Notamacropus eugenii: one gene and its partners. The protein of the gene in region 1 purifies or fractionates together with the protein of each later gene. This does not show direct contact. Links are inferred from orthologs where the notes say so. Each region holds a gene or a part of one and is shown in the gene's direction. Other genes may lie near its edges. The genes, in order: DDX6, AGO2, ATXN2L and G3BP2.

Region 1 (7,059 bases):
TTAAAGACCCTGAGGGAATTGAGTGGCTAATGTGGATCTAAGCCCTGAGTGGCTCTCCTGGGTTGCAGAAGAGTGCTGGCAATGGAGGTGGGGGTGGCTCTGGAGAGGGAACCCTGCTGAAGATCCTGGATAGAACAGAGTACTTGTGGTTGCTCCCAGACCAGAGCACAGGCCAGGACAGGAGTAAAATTCCTCCCTTGATTGTGCTACTTTGGAGAAAGTGAGAACTTATAGGTCCCCAGAGTATACCTTCCTCTTGACAAAAGACTCAAAAGTCAAGTAACTGGCTGGGAAAATGACTAAAAAAGGGGAAAAAGAATACGACTATAGAAAGCTACTTTCTTGTTGAACAGGTATTTTCTTCCTTCCTTTCGGATGAGGAAGAACAATGCATACCATCAGAGGAAGACCTAGAAGTCAAGGTTTCTGCATCCAAAACAGCCAAAATAAATATGCAATGGTCTCAGGCCATGGAAGAGCTCAAACAGAATTTTGAAAATCAAGTAAGAAAGATGGAGGAAAAATTGGGAAGAGAAATGAGAGCAGTGCAAGAAAATCATGAAAAGCAAGTCAACACCTTGCTAAAGGAGACCCAAAAAAATGCTGAAGAAAATAACACCTTTAAAAATAGGCTAACTCAATTGGTAAAAGAGGTCCAAAAAGCCAATGAGGAGAAGAATGCTTTAAAAAGCAGAATTAGCCAAATGGAAAAGGAGGTTCAAAAGTTCACTAAAGGAAATAGTTCTTTAAAAATTAGAATGGAGAAGATGGAAGCTAATGACTTTATGAGAAACCAAGAAATTACAAAACAAAACCAAAAGAATGAAAAAATAGAAGATAATGTGAAAAATCTCACTGGAAAAACAACTGACCTGGAAAATAGATCTAGGAGAGACAATTCAAAAATTATGGGACTACCTGAAAGGCATGACCAAAAGAAGAACCTAGATATCATCTTTCATGAAATTATCAATAAAAATTGTTGATATTCTAGAACCAGAGGGCAAAATAAATATTGAAAGAATCCACCAATCACCTTCTGAAAGAGATCTGAAAAGAAAAACTCCTAGGAATATGGTAGCCAAATTCCAGAGTTCCCAGGTCAAGGAGAAAATATTGCAAGAAGCTAGAAAGAAACAATTTGAGTATTGTATAAATACAATCAGGATAACACAAGATCTAGCAGCTTCTACATTAAGGGATCAAAGGGCTTGGAATATGATATTCCAGAAGTCAAAGGAACTAGGATTAAGACCAAGAATCACCTACCCAGCAAAACTGAGTATAATACTTCAAGGGAAAAAATGGTCTTTCAAAGAAACAGAGGACTTCCAAGCATTATTGATGAAAAGACCAGAACTGAAGAGAAAATCTGACTTTCAAACACAAGAATCAAGAGAAGCATGAAAAGGTAAACAGGAAAGAGCAATCATAAGGGACTTTCTAAAGTTGAACTGTTTACATTCCTACATGGAAAGATAATATTTGCAACTCTTGAAATTTTTCTCAGTATTTGGATAGTTGCAGGGAGTACACACACACACACACACACACACACACACACACACACACACAGCACAGGGTGAGTTGAATAAGAAGGGATGAAACCAAAAAAAATAAAGGGGTGAGAGGTATATGTTGCGAGGAGAAAGGGAGAAATGGAATGGGGCAAATTATCTCTCACAAAAAAGGCAAGAAAAAGCTTTTTCAATGGAGAAAAAGGAGGAGGTGAGAGAGAAAAATGAAGCTTACTCTCATCCTATTTGGCTTAAGGAAGGAATAACACACTCACTCAATTTGGTATGCAAATCTATCTTATATTACAGGAAAGTAGGGGAGAAGGGGATAAGTGGGGTGGGGAGATGATAGAAGGGAGGGCAAATGGGAGGAGGGAGTAATTAGAAGTAATCACTTTAGGGGAAGGACAACATCAAAAGAGAGAATAGAATAAATGGGGCACAGGAAAGGATAGGGGAAATATAGTTAATATTACACAACATGACTATTATGGAAGTCATTTGCAAAACTACACATATGTAATCTATATTGAATTGCTTGCCTTCTCAGTGGGGATGAGTGGGGAGGGAGGAAGGGAGAGAAGTTGGAGCTCAAAGTTTTAGGAATAAATGTTGAGAACTGTTTTTGCATACAACTGGGAAATAAGAAATGCTTGTAATGGGGTACAGAAATCTGTCTTGCCCTACAAGAAAAGAGAGAAGATGAGCATAAAGGAAGGGAGAGGTGTGACAGAAGGGAGGGAATATTGAGGGAGCAGGTAATCAGAATGCATGGCATTTTGGGGTGGGTAGAGGAGAAAGATGGGGAGAAAATTTGGAACTCAAAATTTTGTGGAAATGAATGTTTAAAACTAAAAATAAATGAACATAAATAAATAGAAAGGAAAAAAATACCAGTTGAATGAGAGAAAAGAATTTTAAAATCCTCTAGTGAAAAAGGCAAGATGGCACACCTTTCCAAACACAATGTTTTTATACTTTGACCATTGACTAATGCAAAGACGCCCCCTGGACCAAGATATACTATCTTTGTAAGTAATCTTTCTTGGCACTAGACGAAAACCACCTAAGAATCTAGCAAGGTCTACTAGCAACTAACTTTGCACCCAGGAACAGATAAGAACTAAAGGAGGCCTACAAATGGTCCACAGCTGAGTTCTAAGTTGGCTGAGCTGTCTAGATAAGGGGCTAAAGAACTGCTGCCTCTGGGGTATTGAGGTTCTATTAAAACCTGCCATAGATAGATTGGTGGATGACTAAACAAACTGTGGTACATAAATGTAATGGAAATACTCTGCTCTAAGAGATGAGAAGTAGGATGAAGACGGAGAAGCACAGAAAGATATCCACAAACTGATACAAAGTGAAGACCAGGAAGATCACATATACCATGACTACAACAATATTAATAAATGAATAACCACAAAATAATTGAAAATAAATGCTGAAAAATTTTAAAACAAGCTTGACTCAAAGAAAAAAGATGAGAAAACATCTCCTTCTATTCCTTTGTACTAATGGGGGCCCCTTGTGTTTGGAAGATTGCATAAAATATCAAATATTTTTCCCACTTATTGGGTAATTTTGCTGAATTTTTTCCTCTTAAAAAATCTTTGTTATAAGGGATCTCTATCTGGGAGGAAGAGTGTTGAGATACAGGAGCGAAATCTAGGTGAGATAAAAACAAAAGACTGATAAAAATATATTAAAAATGAAATACTAAATCTGAATGGGAGAGCTGAAGAAGAATTACATTCATTGTCAACATACCTTTTTCAACCTTCGTATCCTCCCTCTCCTTCTGCTGAAACCCAAGGTTAAAGCTTTGTTTTCTTGACTTTCTAGACCCTCATTTTCACCTCTGAACATTGCAACCAAAGCCTGTTCTCCATTTTTCCATGAAACATGAAGAGGAGTTGAGGTCACTGGATAGAGACCTACATGAATCTCTTTCTTTGGGGATGGCCACAACAGACAATAAGCATTTATTAAGCGCCTACTAAGCACCCGACCAAGCCCTGGAGATACAAGGAAAGACAAAAGACTGTTTCTCCTTCCAAGGACTTCACAATCTAACGGAGTTAGAGAGATGAAGGAGAGTATGTAGAACGAAACATGATTTACTGGACAATTTGTTTTCCTTCATTATGCTGGTTACCAGGGTTTTCCTTCTTTCCTCTCCCCCTCACAGTGGCGGGTAGGGTTGTGAGGGGGGAGGGGAATACTATTTTTTTAATTGAGAAAAATTAATTTTTTAAAAAAAGAAAGATTTGGACCGCCTCTAAATCCCCTCCCAGCTGTAAAACTTACTAACTTATTATGGATCATCCCATGGGAGGTGGGGAGGTGGTTGGGGGGGAAATAGATTTTTCCTCATTGAAATAAATAATTGAAGAAAAGGTTTGGACAGGCTCTCCATGCTGCCCCGCTGCAAAGGTGAGCCGAAGCCATGGGGGTCCTGCCACAAACTCACCTCCTTGTTCTCACAGAGGGCACCGACCCCCCTCCTTCGTCCCGTCAGCGCTCACAATGCCTGGCAGCAGAGCTACCTGCCTGGAGAGAGGCATGTGTACATTAGGTATCATTGCCGCCGGGGCTCCCGGAAGACCCCGGTTCGAATCCCAGCTCGGCACTACCGAGGTTAGACTCTTTCCCCCTCAGACGGGGGTCCCCCGAAAGAGGGGCGCCGAGCAGCGAGCTCAGTCTCCCCGTCTGGGGGCTGGGAGGGTTACGGGGGAGCTTCTCTTGTTTACTCTTATCCTGGCGGCGGGCACCACCGGAAGGCGAGATTTTTTTTCCTGGCACTACCCGCCGGACGCTCGCCCGCCCCGCCGCCGAGGCTCCCCGTCCTGCCCGCAGGACGCGCCCCCTCGCTTCGCCCGCCCGCCTCACAGGCCGCTCAGCCGCCCCGGGGTGCGCGGGTGGGGGATGGGGAGCGGGCACCTCCGCGCTGGAAGCAGGGAGGGCAGCAGCTCGGCCGCCCAGGAGCGGGGGTGCCTCCCTCCGGCCACAAGCAGGCGGCCCCGCCACCGGGAAGCATCAGGTCGGTGGTCGCCCCAATTCTCAGCCCCGAGCCCCTAGCCCGCGCCCCCCGCCTGGGGAGGGGGCCGGGCGGGCCCTCGCGCCCCCGCCCTGCCTGCCTCTGGGCCCCTTTTTGAGGGCGCGCCCCATCCCCCCTGACGCCCCTCAGAGAGGGGCCCCGAGCCCGCCGTGCCCGCCCGGCAGCCCCACGTCCCGGAGCCCCTGCTGTCGCTGCCGCCGGCCCGACCCCCCGGCCCTGCCGAGGTGGGGGCGCTTGCCCCCCGTTTTCTCCTCAGCGAAGACTCGGGCCCCCGGTAGATGGGGCGGCGGCGGGGGCGGCGGCGGCGGCGCAGGAGGCGGCCCCGGCCCGGGGCTCGGCCCGAGCTCTCGCCATCTTGAGGGGAGGAGGAGCCGCGGCCGCCGCCATGCGGGGAGGCAGGGAAAGAGGGAGGGCGGCAGCGAGGGAGGGGGCGCGGCGGCGGAGTTGGCTCGGCCCGGTCGGCGGCTTCGGCGGCGCCATGAGAGCGGGGAGCGGCGGAGGTAGGCCGGGCGCAGCCGGGACGCCGGGCGGGCTGGCTGGCGGGCGCGCCGGGGCGGAGCGCGGCGTGGAGGCCCGAGGGGAAGCTGCTGAGGGGGCTCCGGTGGCCCTGGGGCTGGACTGGGCCGGCCCGGCCGGGCCGGGGAGGGCTGGGCCGGGGGGCGGGCGGGCGGAGGGTTTCGGGGAGGAAGGAACCGCCGCCATCTTGGGAGCTTCGAGTCAACAATAAAGGAGCCGGGGACCCTGGCGGCGGCGGCCTCGGCGCCGTGACACAGGCCCCAGCCGCGGCCAGTGGGGTGAGGCGCCGAGCTCGGCCGCTGCCGAGGCGCGGGGGCTGCGGGAAGCGGGCCGGGCCTGTCAGGGGAGGGGGCGCTCCGGGGCGGAGGCCCGAGGCCCGGTCGGGGCCTCGGGGGCAGCCTAGGAAGCGGCGGGGGCTGCGAGGGGTAGAATCCGAAGGCGAGGGCCGAGGGGGGCCTGGGACCGGGAACCGAACAGGGCGAGGAGCGGGCCCGCGCCAGTGACAGCTTTATAGGGACTGGGGGATGTGGGGGCCGCAGGGCCGGGGGACGTGGCGTCCCCCTACTGGGGCGGCGGGGGGGGCATACTGCGGCTCCCCGTGGACAGTCCCCTCTCCACCCTCCCCCCGCGCGTGGACAGTCGGGGTGCTGGAATGCCCTCCGTAGGTTGAGGGGGAAGGGGGTGAGTCTTCGGGCCCCGAGGGGGAGGGGGAATCCCCATTGTTTCCCGCTGGCTGAGCTGGCGGGGCCGCGGCTGCTCCGCCAGCGTTGCGCAGATCCCATTGCAGGGCCCCAGCCTCTTTGTTTTTAAGGCCGAAGGAAGCGGCTCGGGATGGAAAATAACCGAGAAATGAGCGGCGCACGGGCGGGGGTGTCCCCCGAAGTCGTCGTGCACTTCTCCCTTCGACTTGTCCCCCGCTTCGTTCTCTTCTCCGTCCTTCCAGACCCACCTCCCTCAGAATGAAAGCCCCCACCCCAAGGCTCCTCCTGGGCTAACCCTAAAGGGAAGCTGCGCCGCCGTGGCAACAAAAGCCGGCGGGGCCGAGGAGTTTTGGGGTGCGGAGCTGTCATTGGCGAGCTCGTGCAGGAAGCGCTGCCGCTAACTCAGCCTTCCTCTCTGCGCTCCGGTGTAATTTCTGAACATGCAGCCATGGAACTTGGAGACGGAACTTGGTCTGCTGAGGAGAAGGGGGGGATGTTATTGCTCTTGTGAAGCGGCCGTGCAGCTTCTCTCCCCGTTAGAAGTGGGGTCCCCATCGGCCGGCTGGGCGAGCGGGAGCGGAACGGCGGCGTTACCGAGCCGGACCGGGCGCCCTTGTCATGCCCGGCGCTTCGCTGGCGTTCAGTCATCCTCCCAGGCTCCTCGGGTGAGGGTGCTGGCGGTGTTGATGCTCGCAGTGTAAACCTGTCACAACAGGAAGCCTCCGAAGTGAGCGGCCGTCCGCAGGGCCGCGGGAGGGTTTGTTTTAGCAGAATTCTGGCCTTCTTAGGAGCAGACCGGTGTTCGGTAAAGGCCACCCAGCCTTTTCTTCAGGAGATGAGTTTTAGAGTCAGGGAACGTCTTCCTGAGAAGTTTCCGTCCAAGTCGTCTTGGTTTTCTTACACGCTGCTTTTGTCTGCATGAGCCTCGGTGTTTGTTGGCGGACCGAGCGTGGCTTACCGAGTTTTCTAAAAGGGCGCATGGCTCATCTTAGTGGGGGAAGGCAGCGTGGTCTGGGTGAACAGTCCGGCTTCTTTTTCCCGACGTTTTCAAGGCTGGCACGCGTAGTATTTCGCAGAACCACCGTCTGGTGTTTTTGTAGAAAGGAAGTCGGGCCCTTCCTTGCGCGCTTTTTGTTTGCTGCGCTGTGTGCGGTGTGAACTTGGACACGGCACTTTTAGAATGCAGAGCTTGCTCGAATTAAAATTTAAACGATTCAGGTAGCCTTTAAGTCCTCTGGCCAGTTTCCAAGCAGAAGCCTACAGT
Region 2 (7,127 bases), on another chromosome or scaffold:
CAGAGGATGTGTATCTCTCCTCTCAGGGTTCTAGAGGGAACCCTGAAGGATTAGGGTTTCTAGTACTGTAGCTCATGTGACTCCATCCAGTATGCTTTTCATTAACTGTCAGCCAGTTAATTAGCTTTTTGAAAGGCCATCAACTAAAGTCATTTATTAAGAACAGTTGGTATAGAAATATCTCTTAAAAGTCTGGAGCATATTTTCCCACACATTTTTTGTATACACACAGGTCCACTGGAAGAGTGAGCTCAAACTTAGAGTACAATGATGGTGAGGGACACAAATAGGACACATATGAAGTCAAAAGAATAACTCACAGCTCCAAGTTACTGGAAGTTCTTTTCTTTCTTCTCTGAATACTCATTAGGTTCCCTTTAGATGTAACTTTGTGGACTCTGACAGTCAGTACCATTGCAGATTCCTGAAGTTGCTTGTCTTCAGTGTGTTTATCTTGTCCTGTGTATATTTCTCAGTTCCCAGTTAGATGCATTATTTCCTCCTGATCCAGTCTTCCTAATAACACGGTCAGGGGAGAATGGGAGGTGCAGGGTGAGGGGGAGAGATATAAGTAAGGTTCTGCTTCAAAGTGCTCCTGAGTCTGGAAACTCCTGAAATTCAACTATTTCACTGTTGCACTGGCTCACTGTGCAGTATTTATTACATATAAGACCAGAGGTGTATTTGTTTCTTTTAGCCAATAACAAAATATTTACTGCATGACGTTATTTATTTTCATCTAGTAGCACTTTGCTGAATCTTCATCCAAGTCATGCCCACTAACTGGAGGTATCCCTCAAGGTTCTGTCCTAGGCCCTTTAGATGATTCCACTTCATGATTTCATCAGTCCATGGGTTTAACTACCATCTCATCTCCATGAAGAATGATTCTTAGATCTACATGCCCAGGTTTAAATTCTTTCTTGACTTCTACTCTCATATCACCAATTGCCTCTTAGACATCGTTTGGTTGCTTTTTAAAAATTTATTTTATTTTTAATTTATGGCTGTTTTTTAAAACAAGGTCTCCCTTCTTCACCTAGCTAGAAGTTCAGGGGCTACTCCTGGTTCTGATCTCACCTACCCATTTATAAACTCGGGCCAGTCAATTACATCTTAGGCAACTTAATGGCTCCCCATCATGCAGGGGCTCAACACATTTTTGTTGACTTAGTACAGACAACTGAGCAGCTTTGCCCATTATATCTCAGAACTTCTGAGCTCAAGAGATCCCACTGGCCTTAGCTTTCCCATTATCTGGATTACAGGTTTGTGCCAGCATGCCCTGTTCTCTTAGATATCTTGAACTGGACTTATTTTTACCCCTAAATCATCCCCTCTTCCCAACTTTTCTATTAATGTTGAAAACATCCTTCAGTCACTTAAGCATATATCATTAAAATCATCCTTGAGACTCCTTTCTTATACTCACTTAAGAGAAATGATTATTAATAACTAATGATATGGAGAAATTCAGAGTTTCCCCGTTAGAAGGTAAGCGAAATGAAAGCAATGGATTTCCTTTTTGCCACTATATCCCTAGGGCTTAGCAAAGCACTGGCCACACATTTGTTCAGCTGTTTTCAGTTGTGTGTGACTCTTTGTGTCCCTATCCTTCTCATCTATCCTTTGGCAATCCTAGAATCATCCTTAACTATTTCCTCTTCCCCAACTCCCATATCTAATCAACTACCAAGTTCTGTTGATCCTGCCCCATAATATTTCTCACATCCATTCCCTTTTCTTCATTCATAAAACATCTGCTCCCCTTTAAGACTTCACCATCTCTGTTCTGCGGTATGCACCTAACTGGCTCTCCTATCTCCAGTTTCTTCCCTCTCCAATCTCTTGGAGTGATATCTTAACTCATGAGTGAGTTGGATTTAAGTGAGGCAGAGTTGCACAAAATCATCAGCCTCACTCTCTTGTCCAGAGAAGGGCTACAGCCCTGGATGCAGTGGGTGACTTGGTGTCTTGGATGACCAAGCTCTAAGCATTCTACAACGCATGCTTCAGTCAGTTTCATGACTGCTGGAACAAACTGTTTTCATCTGCCCATTACATTGAGGAGTCTTCATGTGCTTGGGGTAGACATTCCCTAATTCACTGATGGGTTTGAGGCCTTCGGATTACCCTCAATTTGGTTTAGTACATCTTCTAAGACATCTTACCAGTGTGATCACTAAGCATGCTACAGTTTCTTGGAGTCACAGGTGAGAATTTGGTGAGTCAAATAACTAACATTATGGCTAAGGAAAAAGAAATGAAACTTTTACAGAACAGTATAAATGGCAAATAAATATATGCAAGAGAATCATCGCGGGTTGTTGAAGGGGTAGATAGTAGATTGCAGAATGGCATGGAAACTGATATAGAATAGATTAGACTGGAGATGATGTGCAAGATAGATTTGAGGGAAGAGAGACTGTCAATAGAGGCTATTTTTAATTAATTTTTTTGTCAATTAATAAGCATTCTTTTTTCCCATCTTTCAAAGCCCAACTCAAAAAAAGGAAAACAAAACCCTTTTAACAAATACGCATAATTAAGCAAAACAAATCCTTATATTAGTCATATCCTAAAATGTATGTCTCATTTTGTATCTTGAGTTCATCATCTGTCAAGAGGTGAATGACATGCTTCATCATCCCTACTTTGGAATCATTGCTGGCCATTTCATTGAACCTTCAAAGGATATGAACAGATAGTTCTTAAGGGAAGAAATCCAAATTATCAAGAGCTATGTTAAAAAAAATGCTCCAAATCACTAATAATAAGAGAAATTTATATTAAAGCAACTGAGGTTCCAGTTCACACCTATCAGATTGGAGTTGAATTTAAAAAAAAAAAATAGGAAAAAGGGCTATTTGACCTTTGCAACAGGGTTAAGTTCTTAAAAGTCATCTGAGATTGGTCCTATGAGAGATCCTTATCAGTTAGGCCTACATAAGCCACTGCAGATCTGGCTTGGACTCTGTTTCTGAGAGTCTAAGGTGCTAATTTTAGCTTCTGGGTCTTCAAGAGTGGATTTGGGCTGGGCCAGGAGGTGGCGTATTGGTCATGTGTTTGTTTGGTTGAACAGGGTGTATGCCTAAGTTCAAATACAAGACAGTTATAAAGCTTTCTGACATCCATCAGCTCAGTGCATTTCCAAGTCTAAATGATGAGCAGGAGATTGTAGTAAGGGCTGTATACATTTACTGTGAATTTTAGCACTGCCTGCATTTGGCAATTGTAAATAATACAGAATATCCCGAGTCCTCAGGTAGTTGGCTTGCCTAGTTGTCCCAGAACTGTTGTTGTCTATTTCCCGAAAACCCACTTCCCAATCACCACCCTAACTCCCCCAGGATCACATTAGACCAGAGCAGGAATGGAAGGGGAAGGATACTGGCAGAAATGTAGCCTCCATGAGAGAGGCTCTACAGGTTGCAGGAAGACCCCAATTCTCTTTTCAGGAAGACCCCAATTCTCTTTGCTCTACGGACCAGTTCAACCCTATATCTTCCCTATCCTTTCCCTCTCCCTCTTTCTCCATCTTCAAGAACACGGGAAAAGAGATTACCCTTTCACCTTCCTACCTCATAACCCGCCGAAGTATTTCCCCTCCCCCAACCAATCTTCCCCGCCAAAAAAGAAAAAAAATTGCAAGCCTGTCAGCCAACATTTGTCAGATCTCTCGGCGCGCTAACGTAAACCTGAGCTACCATCAGGGGTGGCTAAGTTTAAACATCTGCTGGCTGTAGAGATCCTTTTTCCTTCTGCCCTTTCTCTCCAGCACAGCCGGTTCCCCCCCCTGCCCCCCCGCCCCCTAGCCGCTTTGGGTTTTAGGCTCCCCCGCCTACCAGCCTAGACCCAGCGTTGAACCTGACGCCGGGCCCCGCCTAATACTCTCGTCACTACCCCAGCTCCTCCTCTCTCCTTCCTCCACCCAGGCCCCACTCCCCCCTCAACCCCCCCGCGTCCACCCCCCCCCCCCCGCCTCCCGCCGTCTCCACCCCCGTATGGCCTCTGTGAAAACTAGGCGGTCTGTACTGTACAGCCCGCACTGCACGTTGCAAGCTCCCCTTTCTCGTCAGCCGTCACCACTGGGCATGCTCATTTAGTCAGGGCTGGGTTCCCCCCCTCCCTTCTTGGTCGCAAGTAGCTTTCCTTTCCCCCCTCCTCCTCTTTTTTCCCCTCTTCGGCACTACAACGGCTCCCCGGCTCCCGGCGGCTGGCCGGCCCTCCCTCCCTCCTTCCTTCCCTCTTCCCTTCCCTCCCTCTCTCTCCCCCTTCCTTCCCTCCCTCCTTCCTTCCTTCCCTTCCCCTTCACTCCTCTGCCGGCACAGTGTCGCGTAAACCTGTTTGGTGAGGCGCCCGCCTGAAGGCGCAGGGTCGGACCGCGCTCGCGGCTGCTGCGTTGGGGGGGCCTGATTCTCACTCCTTGGCTCCCGGGAGCCCCCCAGCCCAGGACAGACATGTATTCGGGAGCAGGACCCGGTGAGTACCCGGGCTTTTTACTCAGGTTCTTAGCGTGGTTACCGGTTCGGGGTGGGGGTGTGTGGGGGCAAGGAGAAGGCCGTCTGGAGATGGAGGGGTGGCTTTTCTCTCTTTTCGCACCCCCTTTTGAAACGTGTGGGGCTCAGAGCGGGACGCGTGCGCTCACACTCACGCACACACTCACACTCACACCCCAGGGGGGAAGCGGGGGGCTTGAGGCGCTGGCGGGGCGACTGGGGCAGGGGCTGAGTCTGAGCGCGCGCTCCTCACTCCTCTCGCTCGCGCACACCCCGGGAGCAAAGCGGAGGGCGCGAGGCGCTCGGAGGCGGCGGCTGGGGTGGCTGTTGCTGGGGGCTGAGAGCGGGGAGCGCGCACTTAGACACACACACACGCACACACACTCGCAGGGAGCGCGAGGCGCTGGGCGGCTGCTGTTGCTGGGGCTGAGTGCGGGGCGCGCGCACTCATACACACCCCGGGAGCCAAGCGCACCCCCGACTTTCCTACTCGCAAGCCCCAGGCCCCAGTCTCTGCTCCTAGCTCCAGTCCCGAGGGTGCGGCGGGCCATCCCCAGTTCTATTGGGTTCTCGGCTGAGGGTCGTCTTCCTACCTGGGGCGGGGGCGGGGGGGGGGCGGCAAGTGGCGGCCGCTAAACTGAGTCCCACAACCCTTTTCCAGTCCCCAGATAGCCGCCACCGCCACCACTTAAACCCACAGCTACTCATACACCTCCCTCCACTAGGCCGTCTCCTCCTCCCCTCCCGAGTTGCCTGGACTCCCTCCTTTTTAAAGTGCTTAGTAGCTGAGAAAACTACAGCCAATCGAGCCAGCATTTATTAAGCGCTTTCTATGTGTCAGGCGCCGGGGATACAAAGACAAAACCGAAATATCCCTTTCCTTACTCGAGGACGGGACTCAGTTGTTTCTTTCCGCCCCACAGTGTAGACCTTGCACACCGCCGCCCGCCCTCCCGCTTTCCTCGCCAGACGTCTGGCCGTAGGGGGTTTGCAGCCCCCGCGGCTTCTGGGACTGCGCCTAGGCCCCACGAGGAGCCTGAGGGGCTGAGGAAAGACTTGGGAAGAGCAGTAGCCTACTCTGGTTTCCTCTCAAAACAAACAAACGCTTGGTATATCTTTCTTCCTTCCAGATGCCTGAACTTCCCCCCCTTGCCTCCCGCCATGGATCGGATTAAATCCGTGGGCTTCGTATCTGGGGGCTTTGGGCCAGGGATCCGGGGAGGGAAGGAGTGGGAGGTTGGAAATTCCTTCTCCAGCTCTACTCAGGGTTTCCTTCCCGTCGCCTCATTACTATGTTGGTTCAAGTTCCTGTTTGGGGTTGGGGGGGCGGGTGGCAATAGTACTAGATTCCCAATGCCATGCTCGAAGGAAAGAGAACTTATTGATGGTGATTCGTGATCTTGTCCTAAACCTTCTTGAGTGAAGTCAGTTTCATGGTCTTTTTTCTTTTTTGCAAGAGTTTTTCTGGTTCCCCTGTGAGGCCGGTCTGGAAGGGCTGAATTGTAGCCAATTCAATTGGTGGAGATTCAAACTTTCTCCCGATAGGGATTTGAAATCCTTAAAACATTTGTCTGTGTTTTACATATGTCATCATGGTTCTAAATTATCTTGCCATCTTTTGTTAATGTGTTACTTTTCCTTTTAGAATTTACTTGATGAAAGTTACAAGGCCTGATGTTTTAGCGCCTTCTTTTCCTAGTTAGTCCCTTTTATTTTGTAGACAAGTTTTCAAAAGCTTGAAGCCATCACAAACGGCTTAAATAGGGAGCAGGAATGGCAAGGGGGATTTAAAACTCTTGATTTGATTAGCAACTGGGCATGGTGATTGTCAAGATATTAATATTTTCCTTACCTTCGGTCTCTCCTTTTAAATGTCTTAAGGCACAATTCTGTCAGGTGGATCCACGGGCATCTCCACTTGGTCTTCTCAGAGATGTTGAATCACACTCATTATACCAAGCAGAACAAGGATTGGTTCTAAGACTTCCACTATCTGCTAACACCTTAAATGTGCTTATTGTTTCATTACACCCATCTAACACCCTATACACTACAGGGAGATTTTCTTGCTACACTTTGGCCTTCCACTTTTAAGCCTTTGCTCTGTGGCTGTTTTTTTATCCTTGACAAAACATGCTTATTCCACCTTCAGAGCTCCACCTCAGCATTCATAGCACCTCATATTTTTACATATAGTTATCCCTACATTTATTATATGTAAATGTCGAATTTCTGTCTCAAACCTGCTTTATCTTAAGGTACCATACTAAACTTTAGAAAAAAATAAAACTGGTGCTTATTAATTATTGAAAGAATAATGATTATTTTGGTTTTAATACACTGGCATTTTTTAAAGGTACATTAGATAATGTCATGAATTAGTCATGTTCCAAACTTAAAAATCTGAAGGCTCTTAGAATATAAAAATACTAAGATTTTAAACACTGCAGTTCTCCAGAGATAGTCTTGAGACAACCCATAACATTGATTTTGCAAGTGATTGTAATGTTGTATGAAATGGTGAAATTCAGTCTTTGGTGAGGGGAAAAAATTAACGGTGCTATATGACGCTGTCTTGGTCAAGAGTAGCTTTGGGGAGAAACTTACAGAATTCAGCATTTATGCATA
Region 3 (7,791 bases), on another chromosome or scaffold:
CTGCATTCCTGCAGGGCTATAGAAAGACTGTGGGGGTAATGGAAATGAGGTATGCGAGGATGGAGAGACAAATCAATGTAGAATGTAGAAAGACTGAGGAGAAGATCCTTGCATTAGAGGGTGGTAGGGAGGGTCAATTCCTGGTAGAGACAGGTGAAAGTAAGGAACAGAACCTAGAAGGATATGGAGAGAATGAGAGACAGGTTCTGCAAGAAGTTGAAGTGTCTACTGAGACACAGTTTCAGGAGGCAGATGCAATAGGAACTGAAGGACAGATTGTCAAAGGTAGTAAACAGACAGAGGATCCCAAGAGAGATAAAGAAGCCACTAGAGGACAAACTTCGGGAGGAGATAGTGAAAGACAGACCCAGGATGGGGACAGTGAAGGACAAGCACAGGGAGGGTACAGCGAAGGACAAATCAAGGGAAGAGATGCTGAAGGGCAGACCCAGGGAGGGGATGCTAAAACCGAAGTCCACAGAGGGGATGAAGAGACCACTGAAGAACATGTCTCCAAGGAAGTTGGAGGAAATGAAACAAAACCCATAGGAGGGGAGGGAGAGGGAGAGGCCATAGAGCAAATCCCAAGTGGATATGAAGGGATAGAGGGATGGGCCTCAAGTGGAAAGATTGATACCCATCCATTGAGGACAGATGAGGATCTTTCAGAACAATCCCCAGGGGCACTTGGAGACATAGGTTCTTCCCCAAGACGAAGACATCATTCAGCCCCAGGGACAGATGGAGAGGTCAGGGGGGCAGAAAAATAAGCAAGCAGAAATAATCAAGGGAGGAATAGGAAGGAAAGTTCAGCCCTGTGCCTCCTGACTTTGTGACCATAATTTCCAGATAAATTGTTCTGAAAGGCCTTTCATCTCTTGATATTCTGATGATGTTAACAGAGCAGCTTATTTGGGGGTAGAGGTGGCATGGGGGAACAGATGTCAGTTTGAGTTTTAGAACAAAATAGGTAGAATGCCTGATAATGTGCTCTCATTCTTAACACTTCCTGAAAGAGAAAAAAAATAAGAAAACATGTTGCTTAGTGTGCAAAGGATTCAACCAGTTGAGCCGTAGGGCAGGGAAGCTGGTACATCCTTTGAGAAAAGGGTAGAAGGCTATGCAAAAAAAGAAAATTAGAACTGAACTTATAAAACCCTGGCACATAGGTTGCAGGGAAGGTTTCATGGAGAAAAGTTAAAATATTTTTCATTGACTTTAGGTAGCTGGAACAGCCTAGTGTCTTCCTTTTTTAGGTCAGAGATTGAGGGATTTGGGGACTGAATGTAATTATTGAAGGATAACCTTAGGAAATGTCCCCAGTTCATGGAAATTCAGTACACAGTAATTAACACAAGGTTTTGAACCTAGCCACTATTTATATCACCTGACGTGAAGGAGATGGTTCAATTATTTTACATGAATTTTGAGGTTCGTTCTGGCACTCACCTGCCTGATTGCTTCAGATAACATTTGTTTATAACTTGGTATGAATGGTAGGGTTTTGCCAAACAGTAATCCATACATACATAAGTTTAAACCTGTTCACCTGATTTATACATGGGTGCTCAGTAAGTATAATGAGAGTGATTTATCTCACCACCTTCCCTGGGGCTCTGAGTAATATTCCTTTCATGCCATTCATGAAATGCACATTCAAGAAATGTTTGTTAGCTAGAATGAAGGAGGCGTGAAGGGGGAAAGACAAGTTTAGAGGCCTTTCTTCCTAACCCAGTGTTCACAGGTGAGTGGAAAGGGACTTCAGAGATCATACTCCAACAAGAATACTGCCTTACAGATTGTCATCCAGTATTTGTGTGATGACATCGAAAAGGAAGAGTCCACCACCTCCTGAGGCAGACAGATCATTTTACAGGCTCTCACAACCTTGACTGGAAAGTTTTCTTATATCAGGCATAAATTTGCCTCTGCACCTTGCATCCACTGCTTTTAGTGCTGTCCAGTCCTTCCACATGACCCCTGTCCCATCAAGGGTACTTCAGGTCACATCTACCTGTCTTCTCCTGATTATACCTCCCCAGCTCTTTCAGCCAATCCACATAACATGATCTTAAAGATGAATGTCCAGACATAAACACAGTACTCCAGATGTCCTGCCCATGCCTGTTCCTGGCTACTCTGCCTCTCACTACAGTTTCAGAGATCATTAGGGGTTTTTTTTGTTTGTCATATCCCAGAGTTGATCCATATTGAGCTTGCAATTTACTAAAGCACCTAGATCTTTTTCAGAACAATTGCTGGCTAACTCTGCCTTCTCTATCTTGCACTTGAGAATTCGATATTTTTAACCCAACTATGAATCTTTATACTTATCCCTATTAAATATCTTAGGATTAGATCGGGATTCTTCAGTTTTTTGCATTGTAGACCCAGACTCCTTTGGCATTCTGGTGAAGCCTATGTATGGACCCCCTCCTCAGAATGTTTTTAAATGGATAAAATAAGATTACAAAGGAAACCAATTAAAATTAAAAAAATTTTTAAATTTACAAAACCCAATAAAAAGTTAAGAATTACCATATCATATTTAACCCAGTATTCTAACCTAATAATTTTTTTTGTTTCTTGAGCCCTAGAAGCTATCACTCTCTACTTTGTCATATGCAAATTCAGTAAGCATGGTATCTATGCCTTTATCCAAATCACTGATAAAAATATTAAACAGCACAGCTCTCTGGGACACTTGATTACACCTTCTTCCAAGGTAACACTGAACCATTAATGGCTACTCTTTGGGTGTAGTTATTCGGCTAGTCCTGAATCCACCCAACTAAATATCATCATCTCATATTTCTTTGCATTGTCCGCAAGAATGCCACAATATACATTTTCATATATTTTGCTAAAATCGGGTAAACTATGTGCATGATATACCCCTTATTTTTACAAGTCTAATTATGCCATCAGAAAAAGAAATGTTTAGTTTGGTATTACCTATTCTCAGTGACACCATGCTGACACTTGGAGTTATTGCTTTTTTTTTTTTTTTACCAACTAGATTTTGCTAGGAAGTAAAACAGAATTTATTGGCCTATGTTTTTCAGATTTCCATTCTGCTGAATGTCTGGATATCTGCCCGTTTTCAATCTTTGTAGCACCTCTGCCAATCACCTTGTCTGTCTGGACCTCACTTTCCTCATCTGTATGTGTGTGTGGAGTGGAGGTGGATTTAGATGACCTTTAAAGCCTCTTCCAGCTCTAATCTGATTAACCTAAAATGTCTAATTGCAGATCCAAATTGTTTTAGAAAAATCTGAATGGAGATTGTTACTGAATTGGCTGGCTCCTAAAATGTTTCCAGTTCTCTTATCTCTGGATGTGACTGTTGCCTCCATATGTAACTATCCGGAGAAGGCACATTTGTGTATATATTGTTGCCTTCCTTCCTGTGGTCACTCTTCCTTCTAGCTTTCAAGGTTAGGACACTTAAAAATACGCACACACACGCACACATATATAGATATATGTATATGAAGTTGTAAAATATTTTGTAAACCTTAGTTATTATTACCCCACTACCTTAAACCCTTTGGAAGAAAAATGCTAAAAACTGTGTACATAAATACTTCTTTTTAAGTACTACCATTCCTTCACTCTTCTTGATCCTCTCTCATTCCATAAAGATGGGCCTTAGACTTTAAATGAAGGGATTGGCCTAGATCATCTCTTCCAGTGCTCCTCCTAAACCTAAGGAATCACCCATTTGTAGCCAACATACTTGTGGTTCCTGTTCATCTCCTGAGCACATTGCCTTCATTTCTCCGGTATGGGAGAGTTTAGTCTTCCAATTTTACCAAGAAAAGATGGAGAAGACAGTAATAGAGCATAGGAAACTGGCAGGCTTCATTTTAAATGAGAGCCTGCACGACATCTTCACCCAAAGCCTCCTCCCAACCTGCGGGACTTTGATGACTTGACCGGTGGGTCTTGTTCCATCAGTTGGGGAAAAGCATGACTCGAAACAAAGATGTAGAAAATTGTTCTTCTAACAGATCCAAACCACCTATTAACCAGTAACTTCAAGAGACAACCTCACCCCCCTTTTTTCCATTAGAGCTGTTAATAAAGGAACACAACTTTTTAAAAAATAGTTTATCTTCCTGAATGTATCCGAGACACCTACTAACGTAGTTAGTTGTTAACGATAATAAGCAGGTCGAAGGGACGGGAAGCAAAAGTCTAAATAAATTCTCCGTGGGCTAACAAACAAACGTAGGCTCCTTACTGCAGAGGAAACGTCAATGCCACCCGCTCCCTCCGGGCCTTTTTGCCTTCAAACCGATCCCTGTACGAGTCCCGGTAAGGCGGAAGGATAAGGGATTGCACGGCAGTACTGTGACGTTGCACATGCGGCGCTGGCTGTACTAGGTAGGAGAATCGCACATGCGCAGTGGTTACCTATAGCTGGTCTCCTTTCTTGCCCCTCCCCCAGTACTTCACACGCTCATTGTCAAGCGACGGCGGCGAGCGGGCGGTCACGGGGCGCGCCAGAGACTCCGATACCTCGCGCGCGTGCGCCTTTAGCTCTCTTCAACATTCCCCCTCCCCCACCCCCATCTCCCATTCCCTACTCTGAGTCTTCCCAGTGTACTAGGAACGCAAAATTCACCTTTCTTTGCTACCCCTTTTCGCTTAACCTAGAGCTAACCGTCTAGGTGTGAGCGCGTCTCCTCGGTCCCTCGCTCCCGGGGGCTTGCGTACGCGCGCGCACTCTCTCTTAACTCCCCCTCCCCCGCCTCATACTGTTTCTTTCGCGCACGCGCGCCGGCTCGCGCCCTCTCTCTCGCTTTCCTCAAGCCCGCGAGATCCCCCCTTCCGCCTCGCGGCGCCTTCTCGCGCCGCCGCCTCCTTGTATCCCTCACACACCGGCCCCCCCACCCGCTAACGGCGGCGCCCCCTCTTCCCAACCCCCTTCACTCCTCGCGCGCTCGGGCGGGCCCGGCCTCAGCCCAGTCCTGCCCCCCCCAACTCCCCTTCCGGACGCCGCCACCATGTTGAAGCCGCAGCCGCCTCAGCCATCTCAGCCCCAGCAGACACCCATCCAGCAACCGGCACCAGCACGCCGGCCTCCCGGGGGGACCAGCCCCCCCAACGGAAACCTCGGGGGGACCCCAGCCTCCGCCTCGGCCCCGGGGCCGCCCACTGCCGCTTCCCCAGGCCTAGGGCCTCCTGCCGGAGGCAGTGGGCTCCGCCGGGGAGCTGAGGGGGTTCTGCCGCCACAGCCGCCAACACATCAGCATCAGGAGCGGCCCGGGGGCGCTGCTACTGGCAGTACCAGGTGAAGAGGGGCTGGACGAGGGGGGATGACGGGACGTGGGACGGCCGAGGGCCCCCTGCTTGTTGGTAAACGTCTGTCTGCCATCAAGGAAGGGGCGGGAAGGAAAGCCCGCGGAGTCCCTTGACCCGGCCACTTTCGGAGGGAGACAGTGGCCAGGGTTGGGCGGTGGGCTGCCGTTGTGCCGGGGGCAGCAACGCTGAGGGTCCCCGGTCCAACTTTCCGGAGGGGTTCGGCGGGGGCTCTTGGGTTTAGCCAATGGGGATGAAAGAGGAAGCGGCGTGTGCCCCTACGGTCTGGCCAATAGAGGAGATGGGGTCCCTGAGTCGAACCAATGCAGGGTGGGGGGATCCTTCATTTCATCCCATTGTGGAAGTGGGGTTCCTAAGTCGGGCTAAATGGTGGGGCAGGATGGGGGAAGGGGCGGCCCTTTGGCCAACCAGCAGGTTGCTCAGCAGAAGGGAGCCTAGCCCTAGGGGGCTCGACTAGGTGGGAATTCTTTGCCTTGTGTAGACCGGGAAGGGTAGACTGGGCAGGATGGAATGCCCCCCATCCCCGGCCTCGGAGGAGCGAGCGAGAGTGTGTGTCTGTGTCAGTGTCCGTATCGAAGGGGGTGCATCAATGGCGGGGGCGGGGGGAGGAGGAGAGGAGGGAGGTAAAGGTGAGTAGGGTCCCCGGCTCAATTGATGTGAAGGGTCTCGCGGTCCCAAAGCTCAGCCAATGGGTGGGAAGAGGCGGGAAGGGGTCCCTAGCTATAGCCAATGGGGGGGCGTGGAGTCCATAGTTGGGCCAATGGGCAGAGAAGAAATAGGCTGCGCCTTCCCCCCGCCCCCCCCAAGGAGGGAACTGCAGACCCTGTATAACCCCCTGTGCGCGCGCGCACCCCAGTACGTGCGCGTGGAGAAGGTGCCGTCTTATGACAGGGTGTTAGGACGGCGCTCCTGGCGGCTCCGTGAGGATAGCTGTAGCCGGCGCGGTCTAGTCCAATATTCTGCGGTCTGTTTCTAAGGTCAGGGCGGGGGTGGGAGCTCGGCGGACCGCACATCTCTCGTGGAGCTTATTGAGGCTGTACGCAGGCGCTCTGGGGGCAGGAAGGCGAGCGAGCGTGAAGGAAGCCTGAGGGCTGTAGTGCGCAAGCGCTGAATGGGTGAGGCCTCCCTGTGGATAGCGTCTGCGTCTGCGCGGTCCCCTCACCCCGCCAAACGGCCCCCCCTCCCCCCAACGGCCAGTTACATCAGCCTGTGAGGACCCTGGTATCCGCGGCGGTTAGTTCTCCCCAGAATGGGTAATGGGGCTTTTCGTGTAGGGGTGGAGACAGTTGTCTTCCGTGGGCGAGCTCGGGGGCTTGCTAGAGGTGCCTTTGGCACTCTGGGGTGATGGCTTTAGATTGGCCAGTCCTAGATGGGCTCCATGTGCTTCCTTGTTCTTGTGGGTGTTGTAAACCCTGAGCCCCGTCCCCTTGCCTTGGGAGAGCTGCGGGAAGGTTGCCTCTTAATCTCGTCTCACAGAATGGTTTGGACAGAGAGCTAGGCCGTGGGCTTTGAAATGAAAATAATGCATCTCGCTCCTCCAGTTCTTTGCCTTTTTAAGATGTGGACAAGCCTGAAGGCTGTACTGGTTTATAGACTTTCATTGCTCTGTGCCTGATGAGGCCCAGGGACGTCTCTTATCCAGCCTTTCTTTACTCCTGTAAAAGATGTGGACCTTTCTTTTTTTGTTGTATGTTGAGTTAGACGTTCCTGACCCCTTTGTAGATGGGAGTGTAGGAGGGAATTGGGCAGACTTGAATAACTAAAAGTGTCCTTGTTGTTTTCTCTTATAGGGGACAGAGCACAGGAAAGGGGCCCCCACCGTCACCTGTGAGTGCCTTTCCAGTAGTTAAATTCAGGGATGTAAAAGGGTGAAGTGGGAACCACTGGGGAATCGGGCAAAAGAAATGTCAGAAAGGTAGAAGTTTAGGATACCTGATAAGCGTCTTCCCTTTACTCATTAATTTGTCATCTCCGTGTTATTTTCAGGTATTTGAGGGTGTCTACAATAACTCTAGGATGCTACACTTCCTTACTGCTGTTGTGGTATGTACCTGTCTTCTAAAGTAGTTTGGTGGGGTCTTAAATAAGTGTAATGTGAAGTCTTTAATTGTTGCTCTTTCTGCCAGGGCTCCACTTGTGATGTAAAGGTGAAAAATGGTACCACATATGAAGGTATTTTCAAGACTCTGAGTTCAAAGGTAAGTGTATTCATCAACCTGGCTTGGAAGTTAGAACCAGCTGGAAAGGGTGGTATGTGGGAGATGCAGTGCCGTCAGTCTTAAAGATCGTCGTAAAAACTCTGCCATTCTGTACAGATGTTCCTAGCCTAGCATTGCTTGCTATAATTGTTTTATATTTCATCATAATAAGCGCTGTAGCTTTGAAAAAATATTGATGGCTGGGCAGGTGTGCGTTTGTACGTTATCTCTAGCCTGATTTCTTTTCATCGTTAAGATTACATAA
Region 4 (6,998 bases), on another chromosome or scaffold:
CAGCCTAGTCTAGGGTTAAAAATGTAAAATCATTTGCATATAATATTTCATAAATTTATCTCAAATTGGCTTGTTACTCTGCCTCCCTCAAGGACTCCGGGAAAATCTCTAAATATAGCTCATGCCTCATTTCTCAACAAACTTTATATCTTCTTCCCTACTTCATGTAGGGGAAATATATTCCCATTATAGTTTTGAGTAGTTTTACTAAAAGAAATTAGAATCGAAAAGACCGTATTAAACACTCTAAGTGGCTACATGTTATTTACTCTTTGGGGTAACAGCGACCACCCCTGTGGGAAGTTGGAATTCACCATCTCACTTTTCCAAGGTGACTAAAACTCCCATAAGTCATTGGAAAAAGATTATCCTTCATTTCTCCTCAAATCACATTCTACTCACTGCAACCATAGTAGCTCTTTGGGATGTTCATCTGAGGAGTCAGAGCTAGGAGTCATCTTCTTACAGGGATGGCTATTGGATGAACCCACCCACAATAGTCTTGCCAACGTCTCTAAAATGTTCACTGCCCAGCCCTCTGACCCCTGGATACTGAGAGGCCCCTATCCCTTAGGCACAGAACCTCATCTCTTTACCCCCAATTGATTTCATCTCTTTCTAGTCTGCTTACTGCTTTTCTGCTTAGCAGGCCTCTTTTTTTGTCATGGTTGTTACAAATTGATTCATTTGGTGAATTTTTTCAATCTCTGCCCAGAGTGATAACCTCTTATTTTATAGTTCTAGGTGAAAATTAAGTGAGTGTCATATTGTATTTCATCATATGGATGATCATACATCACAGAATTTAAGGCTCCATCCTAGGCCCTCTTTTATTCTCTCTTTACACTCTCATTCTTGGTGATCTCACTAGCTCCCATGGATTAAATTCTCATCTCTGGTCAGATAACTCCAAGATCTATATATCTGGTCAATTCTTCCATCAACAGGCATTTATGAGAAATCTGCTGTGGACCAAGTACTGTGTTAGGCACTAAGGAAATCAATATAAAGACTGCAATAATTCTTCAGTCCTTATCATTTTCTTGACTACCCATCTGACATGGACATTTGCCTATTGGACATTTCTACTACTGTGTCCCATAGGCTATGTTCATAAATATTATTACATGCCCATAGTAATAATGTTTATGAACATAGCAGTATGGCTTGGGGGACTTAAGGCTGCTAGCTTACAGTTGCCCGCTTTACCACTCATGTCTTGGGTGACTGACTATACTATGGTAAAGTCTGGCTATAAAGAAATTTTTTGGGGAAAAAAGTCATAAGACCAGTATTTATTCTGAACATTGACATTCACTGCTACTTGAGAGGCAGATTGATCAAGACAAGGAAAGGGGGAAACTCTGACTGGTCAAGAGAGAGAATCCAAATATTCTATGTTTCCTTTTTACCATTTCGAGACTCTCCATCTACCGCTGTCACTCAGCAACCTCTGCCTCCTTTGAGGTACATTCAATCCAGATTTATCACCTATTGCCTATCCATCCACAGGCCATTTTCTTACTCTCCACAGTTGCTGCTACAAACATCATCCTATCTCAAGTTTCTACAGTAATCCCTTCACCTTTACAGCTAGGAACCTGTCCTCATATTTCACTGAAAAAACTGAGGTCATTTGCTATGAGCTCCATCTTCTCTTCTCATCTCCCATCCCTCAGACACCCTTCCCTATTATCATTGCTTTAACTTCTTTCTATCTTTGATGAAAAGGCTTCCCTTCTCTTCGCAAAGACAAAATCCAAACTTCACAGAAAAATCCCTCCCCCCCTTAATAAAAGGATTTGTTCTGTAAAACTTGGAATCAGTCAAAAGGCTGCACCCAAGGACCTAGAAGGCCATACATGACTTTGAGGACACAGGTTCCCCACCCCTGACATGCATCCTTGAACCCATATTCCCTCTTCTATACTCAAGCAAAAGGCTTCTTTTATCATTCTTATTCCCTCTTTCTCTTTTATCTTCAGTCACGCCCTATCTACTGGCTCCATTCCCCCAGCCTACAAATCCACTCACTTCTCCAACATTCTTTAAAACCCTCATTTGGTCCTCCTTTCCCTCTAGGCTAAACTCCTTTCCTTACCCCTCATTTAAACCTCTCTTAAACCCTTTGCAACCAGGCTTCAGACCAGACTCCATCATTCAACTGAAACAGCTCTCTCCAAAGTTACCACTGACCTCTTAATTGCCAGCTCTAATGCCTTTTCTCAATCCTCTTCATTCTTGATCTCTCTGCAACCTTTGACATTGTCGATCCCCTTTTCCTGGATATTGTTTTGTCTCTGGGTTTCATGACATTGCTTTCTCCAGCTTCTTCTATCCGTGTTAGACTATTCCTCTTTAGTTTTCTTTGCTTGATCATCCTCCTATTCACACCCAATAATAACGTTGAGTGTATCTCAAAGTTCAGCCCTGGCATCTTCTCTCTTTTCCCTTTAAATCCTTTTCCAAGAGTTTCCCTCTTATGAACTCCCAAGGATTCAACCGCTGTCTCTGCAGATGACACCCAAATCTATTCATCCAGCACTTTTCTTTCTCTAGATTTCCAATCCCACACTAAGACAGAATTAATTAAGACACAAAAGACAGTTGTCTTTGGAAAGAACTCATTATTTCCCTTGCCAACCTCCCTTTGTCCATTTCATTATTTTTGCTGTTGTTCTTATCAGCCTCTCAGGCTAAAGTGCATTTTAGATTCCTCACTCTAACTCACCAACATGTCCAATTTTTTGCCAGGCTTTCCTACCTTCAGTGGATTTCTCCCATATATTCCCATTTCTCCATTCATCCAGCCACCACTCTACTTCAGGCCCTGATCACCTTCCACCTGGACTATTACTTCGAGTGTTTCCCTCCAATTGATCCTCCACTCATCTGCCATTTTCCTATAGCCTACATCTGCCTAGTCATTATTCCATAAACTCTAGTAGTTCCCCATTACTTCCAGAATCAATACAAAGTCCTCTGATTGGCATTCAAAGCCCTTTGTAACTTAGCACCTTCCTGCCTTTTTATTTTTACACTTTACAACCTTCCATGCTCTATGATCCAGCTACATTGGACTATTTATTTGTAACTCTTCACAGGACTCCATCTCCCTCTCTCTGCCTTTGGATTGGCGGCATGGGCCCAAGCCATGGAATTCTGTTCCTCGTTATCTTAGTTACTCTGACTTCTTTCAAAATTTAACTCAAATCCTCCCTAGTATCTTCCCCCTCTGAGGTTCTTTCATCTACTCTGTTTCTATTTTAATTATATATATGTCATTTGTAACTTGTTTTTGTAAAACGAGCAGTTGGATATTTCGTTGCTAGAATATGACCTTCTTGAGAGCAAGGACTTTGGTCTTTCTTTGTCTACCCAACACAAAGCATTTAACAAAAGCTTGTTAGCTTACTGGTAGAGTTGAGACTAGGACCCAGGTGCTAGACTAGGTCTAGAACTCTCCAGTCCAGGGTTCTTTGCGCTACAACTCCAAGGTCCACACTAGACTGAAACTGTAACCACTTGCCTGCAAACTGTAACTGCAGCAACGTGTAAATAACTTTGTAGACAAAATTGCTACATCTTTCTTTCCCTTGGCACAAAATATGGTATCCTTGAATCTGCCAAGATTACAATGTTGCAGTAGGAGGGCCTCCTGCGCCCGCCCGGTTTTAGGCGAGGACCAGCTACCCGGGTCCCTTCTCCCATCTCCCGGCTTCTAGTCTCCAATGACGTCAAAGTCGCGGGAGCGCGCGGGCCGGGGGAGGGAGGGGCGGCGTTCCAGAGGCCGGTTCCGGTTTTCTCCAGTCCCGGCCGCGAGCAAGAGGGAGCTCGAGAACAGGCGCCAGGGTCGCGGCGATGTGCGCGTGCTCAGAAAAGGGACAGGGCGGGGGGAGAGGAAAGGCGGGCCCGCGAGGAGAGGCTCGGTGGTTGGCCGAGGCCGCACCAACGGGGCTCCCCAGCCGGTCTGGCAGGGGTAAAACAATAAGAGTGGGCGGTGGTAAAGGGGGCGGGACCCCAGGGTTCTCTGTCGCTCAATGCCAGAGCCCGGCGCGGAGGAAGGAGGGGAGTCGGGGAGAGAGGGAGCGAGAGAGCCACGCGTGCGCGCGCCCCGCAGGACAGCGCCCGAGACTCGCTCCGGGGGTTTTTGTTGCGTCGGGGAGGCCGGGCCGAGCGGAGCGAACGCGGAGCAGCCGCCGCAGCCTCTTCCGTGAACTGAGTCTGTTCCTCGGCTGGCCTCCGCCGCTGTTGGTTGGAGGTGTGTGTGTGTGCGTGTGTAAATGTGTGTGTGAGCTGGGGGGGGGCTGGTGTGTTGGCCGGGAGGGCACTAACTGCTGGCGCACCCCGGCTCGAGGCAACCGTCTGGCGCGAGCCGCGCGGGACATTGTTCTGGCCGGCGCCGCGGGCCTCCGGGGAGAAAGCGGGGAGCGTAGACCCGGCCCCGGGGCGGGGGAGGGGGGGCAGCGGCTGCGGCCGGCGCCGCCCTGCCCGGGGTGGGGGGGCCAGGCGAGAGTCGCGGCCTCCGGGCACCATTGCTGCCAGCCAGCCCCCGAGCCGGCCGGGCTGGGGGCGCCGGCGTCACCCCCTCCTGCATCCGTCCTTCCCCGAGTGGGGGAGGGGGAAGGTCCTCCCCCCTCCCCCTCTCCCTCCCCCTCCTCCTCCTGCTCCTGCCCCTCCGCGGCCTCTCTTTGCAGGTGGGAGGCCTTTCCTCCCTTTCCGCAGCCCCTCACTGCTGGAAGCTCATCCCTCCTTCCCCACACCCGGAAACGGACCTGAAGGGACTTGCTCCCCAGGACTCGCTCAGGATGCGTTTCTCCTCCGCACATTTGCAGGGAAGAATTAATTTAGGGGGTAGGGGAAATAGGTAGGCCATCCTTTTGGCTGTTTCTATTTAGATAAAAAATAGTGAAACCTAATTTTTAATGGGTTTTTAGGGGGGGAGGATGTTTTGTTTTGCCTTTTTTGAGTGATATATTTTGTGCTGATTCCCTTTAATCGTGATATCCAGGCTCTCTTGGTTTTGTTATGTGATGGGCACGTTCACTTTAGAGCCCACCACTGTCTGCCTCCAATCTACCTTTGCGGCCATGTTTTATGATACACGTCGTGGGTTCTGTATTCCATCCCTAGCTAAACCTCAGTGCTAGCCATTCCAGATCCTGTTTCTTTCCACCCTGCCTCTAATAGGCTCCTTCCATACATCCTTTAGGGCCAGATCAAGCATCACCTTCAGAAATATCCCCTGCTCTCTCCCCCCGCCCCCAGCTGGAAATGATTTCTTGCAGTAATCTGTATTGCCTCTCTGCCTCTCTTACCCATGTATGTTACACTGTTCTAACTTGTATCACGTTGTAACTTTTCATTTTTTTTATTTCCGTGTTTGTTTTATCTAAACCTCTCCTAGATTGTAAACGTCTGAAGCTTACGTCTTGTGGCCTCGATGGGGGTGGGGGTGGGGGTGGGAGGACGACAGGAGACGACAACGGAGATGGTGGCGGCGCAGCAACTGCTGGAGGTTCTTCATCTTTGTCTCTCTAGGGCCTTGCATGGAAATAGATGTTCAATAAGTGTCTGTTAAAGTGGATTTCAGTGGATGGGTATTATGGTATATGCTGTTGCATAATATAACGCGGATGGATGACCAGAAGCGTCCTCCTACAGTTGTTCATCAAAGTGCAAGAATTGCATATACTTGGACCTTTGTAATGCTATACTTTTGAAGGGAGAACGGCCTTACAGTTTGCTTTCCCGAAAGAGTATGGAAATTCCTGCCCAAGTCTATATTTGCCTCTTAATTTAAACTTCATTATGTGAAGAAAATGACCTAGCTAAATATTCTGTGGGCCTTTGGGCATCTAATAAAGCTGCTGTTTTTAATTGAATTCTGACAGGTAACCTGGATTTGAACCCGGAAGGATGATGATTCTCCAGATGAAATAATCTTTTAATATAATAACATTTTATTTCTAGGATGGCCATATGTGGTCTTCCTGATTTCCCTTGATGATTTACTTTGGAAATGCTTCATTAAGAACCTTTGTAGTTCGTTGTCCAGTATGTATGCCTATCTGACGTCTATCATGGTTCAAGTGGAAGTATATAAGTTGAGAAACTGTTTTAAAGAATTATTAATGCCATCAACATTAAGGTTTACAACTGAAAAAAATTATTATGGTAGGGAGCAGAGAAGAGATTTTTATAACTGATATCAGGTATCCTTGGTAGAAAAGGTGTGGGGAAAGGCCAACCCTAATCTCAAATGTAGATTAGGATTCTTTTGGCAGTTTGAGCTACTGAATAATACATTCCTATCATCATGTAACATCCAATCTGTGTTTCAAATCTTTTTCTCATTGTGGCCAGCATTTTATATACTATACAAAATTCAGAATGTTGCTTTTTTTTTTTTTTAGCATTTTATTAATGCAGCTAACTCAAGTTTTATCATTAGCCTTTGAATATTTAAATTTTATATCTCTACTCAAATATAGCATTCATGCCTTAGAAACCTCTTTTCACAAAACCTTTTGAATTTTTTGATATTATTCTTCATTTTTCATGTGATTAAACTGAGACTTAATGGGTTTTGACTTACCCATAGGGTTGTCACACAAGCAAGCATTTTGTAAACTCATTAAAGAATATGCTTGAGTTTTGGTTTCTCTGGGATTTTCAAATCCATCCTTCCATTGACTTCTTTTTTCTTCAGCAAGCATTTAAAAATGCCTCTTAGATCCAATTGCCCTGAAAGACTTTGAGGATTCAAAAACTGCCTGCAAGGAACTTCTTGCTGTGCAAAATAACTGCTCTTGCCATTTTAAAAAGTTTTTTTTGCCATTTACAGCTCCATTGAGTTAAAGGTGGAGTGTTTTAAAGACTTGAAGATGGATATCTTTTTATATTGCATTTACATCCCTTAAAATCAAGGCTTAATTGCCAGCTCTTAACCTGTTTTCTATTATTAGGTCAATAAATTTTTTTTTTAGTCTACTAGC

Evidence for each region.
Region 2: the proteins of DDX6 (region 1) and AGO2 purify together in Homo sapiens (affinity purification with western blotting; 5 studies listed by BioGRID and IntAct, with this or other methods). This does not show direct contact. The link is inferred for Notamacropus eugenii from reciprocal best matches to the Homo sapiens genes DDX6 and AGO2.
Region 3: the proteins of DDX6 (region 1) and ATXN2L purify together in Homo sapiens (affinity purification with mass spectrometry; 6 studies listed by BioGRID and IntAct, with this or other methods). This does not show direct contact. The link is inferred for Notamacropus eugenii from reciprocal best matches to the Homo sapiens genes DDX6 and ATXN2L.
Region 4: the proteins of DDX6 (region 1) and G3BP2 purify together in Homo sapiens (affinity purification with mass spectrometry; 3 studies listed by BioGRID and IntAct, with this or other methods). This does not show direct contact. The link is inferred for Notamacropus eugenii from reciprocal best matches to the Homo sapiens genes DDX6 and G3BP2.

What each region holds. Positions count from the first base shown.
Region 1 is NC_092876.1:280,063,635-280,070,693, forward strand, and holds the start of DDX6 (probable ATP-dependent RNA helicase DDX6), read left to right. Parts: upstream 1-4,049; 5' UTR 4,050-4,157; intron 4,158-4,306; exon of another isoform or gene 4,307-4,560; intron 4,561-4,994; exon of another isoform or gene 4,995-5,078; intron 5,079-5,250; exon of another isoform or gene 5,251-5,372; intron 5,373-7,059.
Region 2 is NC_092875.1:95,717,341-95,724,467, forward strand, and holds the start of AGO2 (protein argonaute-2), read left to right. Parts: upstream 1-4,105; 5' UTR 4,106-4,460; coding exon 4,461-4,482; intron 4,483-7,127.
Region 3 is NC_092872.1:46,614,928-46,622,718, reverse strand, and holds the start of ATXN2L (ataxin-2-like protein), read left to right. Parts: upstream 1-4,771; 5' UTR 4,772-5,012; coding exon 5,013-5,299; intron 5,300-6,189; exon of another isoform or gene 6,190-6,561; intron 6,562-7,118; coding exon 7,119-7,155; intron 7,156-7,314; coding exon 7,315-7,371; intron 7,372-7,454; coding exon 7,455-7,526; intron 7,527-7,791. Other genes in the region: uncharacterized protein, read left to right, coding at 1-770. UniProt on the Homo sapiens protein: Involved in the regulation of stress granule and P-body formation.
Region 4 is NC_092878.1:151,664,798-151,671,795, forward strand, and holds the start of G3BP2 (ras GTPase-activating protein-binding protein 2), read left to right. Parts: upstream 1-3,987; 5' UTR 3,988-4,261; intron 4,262-6,998.